Canis lupus familiaris: one gene and its partner. The protein of the gene in region 2 purifies or fractionates together with the protein of the main gene of each other region. This does not show direct contact. Links are inferred from orthologs where the notes say so. Each region holds a gene or a part of one and is shown on either strand. Other genes may lie near its edges.

What was found.
Region 1: the proteins of RPP40 (region 2) and RPP25 purify together in Homo sapiens (affinity purification with mass spectrometry; 3 studies listed by BioGRID and IntAct, counting the BioPlex papers as one, with this or other methods). This does not show direct contact. The link is inferred for Canis lupus familiaris from reciprocal best matches to the Homo sapiens genes RPP40 and RPP25.

What each region holds. Positions count from the first base shown.
Region 1 is NC_049251.1:38,426,011-38,429,511, forward strand, and holds RPP25 (ribonuclease P protein subunit p25), read right to left. Parts: upstream 1,883-3,501; 5' UTR 1,820-1,882; coding exon 1,178-1,819; 3' UTR 522-1,177; downstream 1-521. UniProt on the Homo sapiens protein: Component of ribonuclease P, a ribonucleoprotein complex that generates mature tRNA molecules by cleaving their 5'-ends. Also a component of the MRP ribonuclease complex, which cleaves pre-rRNA sequences.
Region 2 is NC_049256.1:6,406,291-6,410,099, forward strand, and holds part of RPP40 (ribonuclease P protein subunit p40), read right to left. Parts: intron 3,034-3,809; coding exon 2,965-3,033; intron 2,395-2,964; coding exon 2,299-2,394; intron 1,395-2,298; coding exon 1,269-1,394; intron 1-1,268. UniProt on the Homo sapiens protein: Component of ribonuclease P, a ribonucleoprotein complex that generates mature tRNA molecules by cleaving their 5'-ends. Also a component of the MRP ribonuclease complex, which cleaves pre-rRNA sequences.

The DNA of each region.
Region 1 (3,501 bases), on a different chromosome or scaffold from region 2:
TCTCTGCTGAATAGTAATTTCCAGCAGTGGATTTGTGCTCAGTCTGTCTCCTCCCCCTCTCCCAAGGGTGTGCTGTCCTTTCTGAGAGAGCAGTGAAGGGGAGATCCTACGGATGGCGAGGAGGGGTTTGGTGCCAGCTTTCTGGATATGGCTGTCAATTGGCAGGAGGCGGCAGGTTTAGGGAGCCCGGTGGGGTGTGCCTCCCTTGGCAGTGACCCCCAGGGGAGTTCACTGGGGCCTGCCAGCCTGCCTGCCTTCCCAGGAAAGCAATGAGCTCCTCTCTTTCCCTCAGTGGTGGTGCACGGGGGGGGGGGAGGGGGCACAAAGGCCCCCTTCTGGCTACCAGCCCCTGAGCCTAGAGCCAGACAGAAAGCTGAGAGAAGAGGCCAGGGACTGGGCAACGTGCCCCTTGTTCCACCTTGGAACAAGACTGCAGGCTGGAGGGGATGGAGACCCAAGGCCACAGGCCAAAGCAGTTTCCACATAGGTTAAGTGCTAAGAAAGAAACCTGGGGCCAGAGCCATTTTTGTGTTTGTTTTATTGGAAGCAGGACTCCAGCTCAGGGGGTAAGGCAGAGAGTTCTGTCTGGGGTCTGTCCTTCTGGGCCAGCAGGGGAAGGGGGACTGTTAAGAGAGCTAGAGCCCATGGGGACGCCCCTGCACCAAGATAGCAGGATGCTCCTTAACAGCAGCAGGGTAAGGAAACTAGAGAGGAAGAGGTCTTCCCCAGGTGACATAGACCGCCCCCCCCCCCCCCACTGTCCTGCCTTCCAGCCGTCTGCTGTCCTTCCTCGCCCCTTGCCTCAGCCGCCAACGGTGGAGAGGGTGCCAAGAGCTCTCCTGGGGCCACACACTGTCCTCGGGAACACCGGATGCCTCCAATCCTCGGGGGTCCTGGGCAAGGCTCAAGAGTCCCCCTGCCCACCGTCCCCTCCCGGAAGAAGGTCCCGGCATGGCTCGGTGGACTTGTGCGTCTCCAGGCAGCCCAAGTGGCGGAGCAGCCAAGCGCCCACGACGCTTCCCTGGGGTCCCCGCCCCGTAGCCCCGGGCCCGGTGCTGACGGCGCGAGGAGCTACGTCCCGAGCACCTCCCGGGCACCGAGCACCGGGGCATGAAAGGCTGGAGATGCGGCTCAAGGTCGGGGCTCCGGGGGCAGGAGGGGCCGGCCCCGCGAGCTCTCAGGCCATCGGACGCTCCTCCGCGGTCCCGGGCTCAGGTCGCAGGCGCTTGGCGGAGCCTTCGGCAGCCGCGGCTCCCCCCGGGCCCCGCTTGGACGTCGGCGCGGCGGGCTGCGACGAGGGTCCCGGATGGGCGTCCGGGGGCTGGTAGCCGGGCTGGCGCGGATCCAGGGCGTCCTTGCAGAGCAGGATGGCGAGGCCGGGCACGTTCTTGAGGACACTGAGGCTGGCGGCCGGCTCTCCAGGCCTGTGCCCCGGCGCGGGCCCCGGCGGGAGGCTTTGCCACACCTCGCGCACGCTCCGGTAGCGCAGCCGCGTGACCTGGTGCAGGCCCGCCAGGCGGCGCTTGAGGATCTCCGCGCACGTGACGGTCTTGGTGGAGGCTCGACCGCAGCCGCTGAAGACGATGGCGCGCGTGGCGGGCTGCGCCATGCTGGCCGTGGCGAAAGCCAGCAGGTTCCGGATCTTGCTGCCCTCCTTGACCCGCATGTGCACAGCGCCCGGCGCCAGGTCGGCGAAGGGCCCGGAGCCCGGGCCGCCCCCCTCGGCCCCCTCGCCCCCCGGCGCCTCCTCCGAGCGCACCTTACGGAAGTTCTCCATGCGCCGTCGTTGCCGGGACCGCGGGGGCGCGGACTTGGCCATGGGGCCGCCTCAGCCCTGGGGCTGCATGGCCGCCGCCGCCCCTGGCCAGGGCCCGCAGGTACCGGGGTGCGGGAGCGCCGCGGACGCCGGCGGGCGGGCTGGGACGGCGCGATCCTCGCCCCCGACCGGCTCCAGCGGGCGCCGCTCTCCGCCGCGCTCTCCGCGCCCAGGGCTCCGCGCCTTCAGCGGCCGCCCCGCCCCGGAGCCCGGAGCCCCGCCCCCGCCAGGCCCCGCCCCCGCCAGGCCCCGCCCCCGCCCGAGCCCCGGCCGCCTCCGGGATCCAGTCCCGAGTCCCGCCACCGGAGCGGTGCGCGGGGAGGTGCGGCGGCGGCGCCGGGGCGGAGCTGCGGGGCGCAGTTCCCCCGGAGTCGCCATCTGCCCTCCCTGAGCCAGCCCTCGTCAACGGGCGACCTGCGTAAAAACTGTGTGTGCGACGCCAAAGCCGCCTGGAGCCGGGCGCCCCAGCCCTTGCGCCCCCCGTGCCCTCGCAGGGAGGTTTTGCCCCCCGCCCCCCGGGGGAACGCCTGCGCCCCGTCCCCCCCGCGCCCGAGCCGCTCCTCCCGCCTCAAGGACGGCGGGGGCGCGAGCCGCAGAGTGCGGGGGCCCGGCTGCAGCTGCGCCCCGCGCTGCCCCCCGCGCTGCCCTCGGAGCGCCACGTCGCGGCGGCCGGGGACGGGTGGAGCCGGAGCTGGAGCTCGCGGACCCCGGCAGGCCCGGGCCGGGGGTGAGGCTGTGGGCCAGGCTGCCCCTGCGGCGCGTGGGACGAGCCCGGGAGAGCCCCTTCCCAAGGGCGCGCCTCCGCGCGTGGAGCGTCCACTGTTGGGGTAAGCCCGGCGCTGCTCCCTGGTGACGTGGACCCCCCCTTTGTCCCGGGAGGAACTCGTTGACGGTCAGCCGCGGCCCCCTGACACCCAGTGGGGTCCATTTCCAAAAAGGAGGCCCGAGGAAGGCAGGTTTTGAGAGGGAGAAGGGTGGCAGGTGGGAAGTGGAGGCCGCGGAGGCGGTGTGGAGCCACCGGGTGCCCCTCTCCGGGAACCCCGCCGGCCGGGAGAGGCGGGACAGAGCGGGGGCTGGGGTGGGAGGACAGGATGGGCGCGAAGTTCGCAGGCACTGGGCCCCCCGCAGCGCTGCCCTGGCCCGCGCCGTCGGGCGGGGGAGTGGGGCGGCCCCGGCCCGGGTGGGGGCGACCAGCGCGGGGCGAGCCCCGGAGGCGCGGCCGGGAAGCCTGAAAGTGCGGGCGGCCTGGCAGGGCCTGGGGGTGGCGGGGCCCGGCCCTGAGCCCGGGCTGCCTGCCGGGGTGCCCCTCTCCCTTCCCACCGCTCCTGTCGCCTCCTCGGCATCGGGTTTGTCCTGGGTCCCGGCCCCTGCTGTTCAGACCCCGGGCTGACCCCGCTACCGCCCTCGGGGAACGGCTGCAGGGTAGACTCGGCGCGCTGGGCTCGGGGCCCTCGGGGTCGTGCTCCGCTTGGAGCCGCGACTGGGGCTGTGCACCAGCTCCCGCGGGCCCCGCGAGGGGCAGCCACGGAGGCCGAGGCACCCCAGCCTCCAGACAACACGCAGGCGGCCTGCAGCGCGTGGCGGGGAGCGGAGAACCTCACATTCCGTTAGCGCGGGGTAGTTGTGGCACTTAGAGGGCAGCTGTTTCGGCTCGGCCTGGGAGCCAGCCCTGGAACTGGGGGGGG
Region 2 (3,809 bases):
AAAACCCAGTAAAATCCAATGTATCCTCAAGGCTATTCCAAGAGCCTCGGATGACAGGAATGGTGGTCCCCTTGGGAGCAACGGGCAGGCTTGCTTGGTGTCCAGTGCAACAGAAATTATCTGCTTTCCCCGCCCCTCCTCCACCCCAGAGCAAAGGGCAGTGGGCTCACTGGCCAGGATAAACGCCTAGAGTTCCTTAAGCTCAGCATCCCTCTCCTGTAGCGTGGCCCCTGCACCTGCGGTAACCCCCGGCCAACTGCCTATCACCCTGCAGGGAGCAGGAGCTGCTGCACTGATGCGAGTGCTTCCCTCTGGCCACTGCCATTGCTGAGTAATTAAATCCCATTTGTGTCTCCTGCCAGCATCCAGGAAACTGCAGCCTAACTTCTTGGCTTACAAGTGGAGAAAATCTCACCTGTTCCCCAGTGGCTGACAAGCCTTTAAAATAACTGGAGCCTTAGGAACACAGAGCTCTCCAGAGCCCAATGCACACGTGATCCTCAATGAAAACTTCATGCACCTGAAATGTCAGTCTGTCTGCCCTCCTGTACCTCTATCCTCAGTAGGAGAAGCAATGAGGTGTTACAGACTGAGGATTCATGCAAGCAACCTAGAGCCCCCAGTGACCAGAAACCCCCCATGGAGAGCAGATGGATAGGTGTAGCTCCCAAATGGACCTATGTGTCCTCCCTATTCCCCAGGAAAGAGCACTACGCCATCACAGCTGTGATGATCTGACTCAATGCAATCTTGCGACGGACCAGAGACCCATTCTACAAGGAGCAAGGCGCACGGCAGTTGTCAGCACATCAGTACATGTGGTGACCAAACACCTCACATGATTTAACGTTTTAATAGGTTCCAAGTTACAACAAATTTAATCTGACGTTTAATGGCTTGCCTGATTTTTACCCTGTAATAATCAACATGTTGTGTTACTTTAAAACACAAAGCCAAGGCTGTTTGAGGTAAGATGCAAGAAGGGAGGGGGGAAGAAATAGAAGTTGGCTGCTCTGAAGCCCGTGTCAAGATCTCTGGATGGACACGAACCCAAGGAAACGGAGGCAGATGGCCGCATGCCCAGATCCTCCTGAACTATGGCTCCAGGGGAAAGCAGGGGTCCCGAAGCAGCTTCCTGAATAATGATTATGCACACAGGTACACAATACCCTAGACCCCAGGGATGAACCACGATTCAGTCCTCCACGACTCCCCTTTAATTAAAAATTAGATTTCCAAATCATTGTACTGGTACACAATTTACATACCTGTATGATGCCAAGCCAAAAGAAAATCAAATTTCAAGGGCTTCTTTTCCTTGAAGGACCAAGATATTCTTTCGTACTTCTTAGAATTCGGGTTAAAGGATAAATCCATCAAATCAATGGAAACAACTTAAAAAAACGGAAAGAGGAAAAAATAGTTCATTCGTATACACGCAGCCTGCACTGTGGAAAAAGTCCGATAGTAAGAGGCATCAGCATTTTTAGAAATTTTATGAATAGGGGCAGCCCGGGGGGCTCAGTGGTTTAGCGCCGCCTTTGGCCCAGGATGTGATCCTGGGGTCCTGGCATCGAGTCCCAGGTCGGGCTCCCTGCATGGGCCTGCTTCTGCCTCTGCCTGTGTTTCTGCCTCTCTCTCTGTGTCTCTCATGAATAAATAAATAAAATCTTAAAAAAAAAAAGGAATTTTATGAATAGCAAAAATTACCTTGTTCTTCTGGCATTCCTTTGGTTTACCAAACCAAAACTGCCTTTCACGGGCATTTCTAGCATTGGTAATTAGTAACAAGAGAGGTTTTAAATTCATACTTTTTCTAGGTCACAGCCCAAGAGGAGAGGCCCTTGGAAAGTCAAGCCTAATCTGCGGATGTGACAGCCACTGTCATTCATGTTCAGGCTGGACACTCGGCACAACCGTACCTCCTCACTCACGGGGGTGCCTCCTCTAGTATCACAGAAACTGGGCAAAAGTAAATTCTTCACGAAGAACAAGTTGTAGGCTTTTATCTTGGGTTCATCAGTTTGAATTTTTTGACCCAAATCCTACATATTTAATGGGCCACTCCGATTCCGTGATCCTTAGAAGATACAGCCCACAGCCGAGGAGAATCAGAAGCAACAGCAATCTTACTCTCTCCAGAGCTCAGCCCAGAGCCCCGTGGGTCAGAAGTCTTAAAGCCAAGAAAAAGCCATGTTCCTTCTGAACAAGAGAACGGCGGCAATTCTAACATTTAAACTTCAATTACTACAGGAAGATTACTGACTTGTTAGAGACCGATGGGAGCATAATACTTACTAAATTTCATGACTTTTCTGCCAGAATATTGAGATGGACGACCTTGAAGGCCAGTTTCTTCGTAAGTGTCTTTGTCCAGTGATAAAATTAATTTCCCTATAAATCAAATAATTTCCATAAAAGAGATGTTAAAAATATGACATGTTCTCTCACTCAAAGAAAGCACAGCCAGTTGAGCAGTTAGATAGGAGCATAATAAATTACATACAAAGATCTTTATGACACAAGGACGTTAATACATACATCTTATTTATGTCCAGGGATATTTTAATATGTTGTACATACAAGGACATTATTTATGACAGCGAAAACAGACATTATCTAAATTTCTGTTAAAGAAAGAACGGTTACACAAATCATGGTATTCCCCTTCAAATATCTTCGAAATCTTAAAAATAGTAAGTCAGAACTATATGCCCTGATAGGGAAAGATGTCTATGACATATTGAGAAAAAAGAAAATTGAGAAACAACTCAGTAGAATGTAATTTATGTTAAAAAAAAAACCAAGCTTTATGTGTGTTTATAAATTTATAGAAAATGTGAAGAAGAATAAACACCAGCCTGTTAACAACAGTTCATTCTAAGAAGGCGAGTGAATCTGGAGATTTGACTTTTTTTTTTCTGTATGGTACTTAACAGTAAAGAAAAAAAGAAGCGTTGTTACCGTTTGGCAGCAGGGCAACAGTATTATCTTCATCAATATTTGTGTTGTGTGTTAGCGCATAGCACGAACCTGTAAGAGAAAGGCCAGATGAGAAATTAAGACAAGAAAAAAAAAGATCACACCTGCAAAAAGGTAGTGGATTCTCTTCACACGGTAACGTATCTTCCCGGTGAGTAAGGGTCGGTATCCACCACTGCTCCAGCTGGCTCAGTAAGCCTAAAACCCGCCCAGGGCGAGCTGGAGGACACAGAGGCCGTGCTCCAGCTCGCTCACGCCCCCACCCAGGGCCCACCACGGAGCAGAGAATGGACTCAGGGCATAGTGTGTGCCTCCGGGGAGGCTGGCGGAGAGGCACAAAGGAGAATACTAGGTCAGTGCACACCCCTGAGATGATGGGTTCCAGGGAAAGACTCAAAACGTGCCAGGACCTTGTGTGACGTTAGGAAAGCTGTTCAGTCTCTGTGAGCCTCACTTTTCCTCACCTGTCAAATGGGGATCGTGGGCCTACCTCATAGAGCTGTTTCAAGAGTTCAACTGGTTAAGATATGTAAACGCCCCCGTTACAGCCAGTGGCCACATTATGAACAAAGTAGGACCAAACTTCAAGAGATGAAAGGACTACAGCTGACGGGAACCAAGACCACACAGGGCCAGCCGCACCCGAATGAGAGGAACTGCATGTAACTGGGTTCTTCACAGCTCCGTCTACAACAAGAGAAGGGGCGGGCTTACTCACAGGTGCAGTGAAGGGGGAATCCCTAAAGACAGCCTGAAATACGGTTTCAAACAAGCGACCCCTAGGAAACAAGTGGAATGAAGCAACCAACCCAGCAGGTACGAATGGA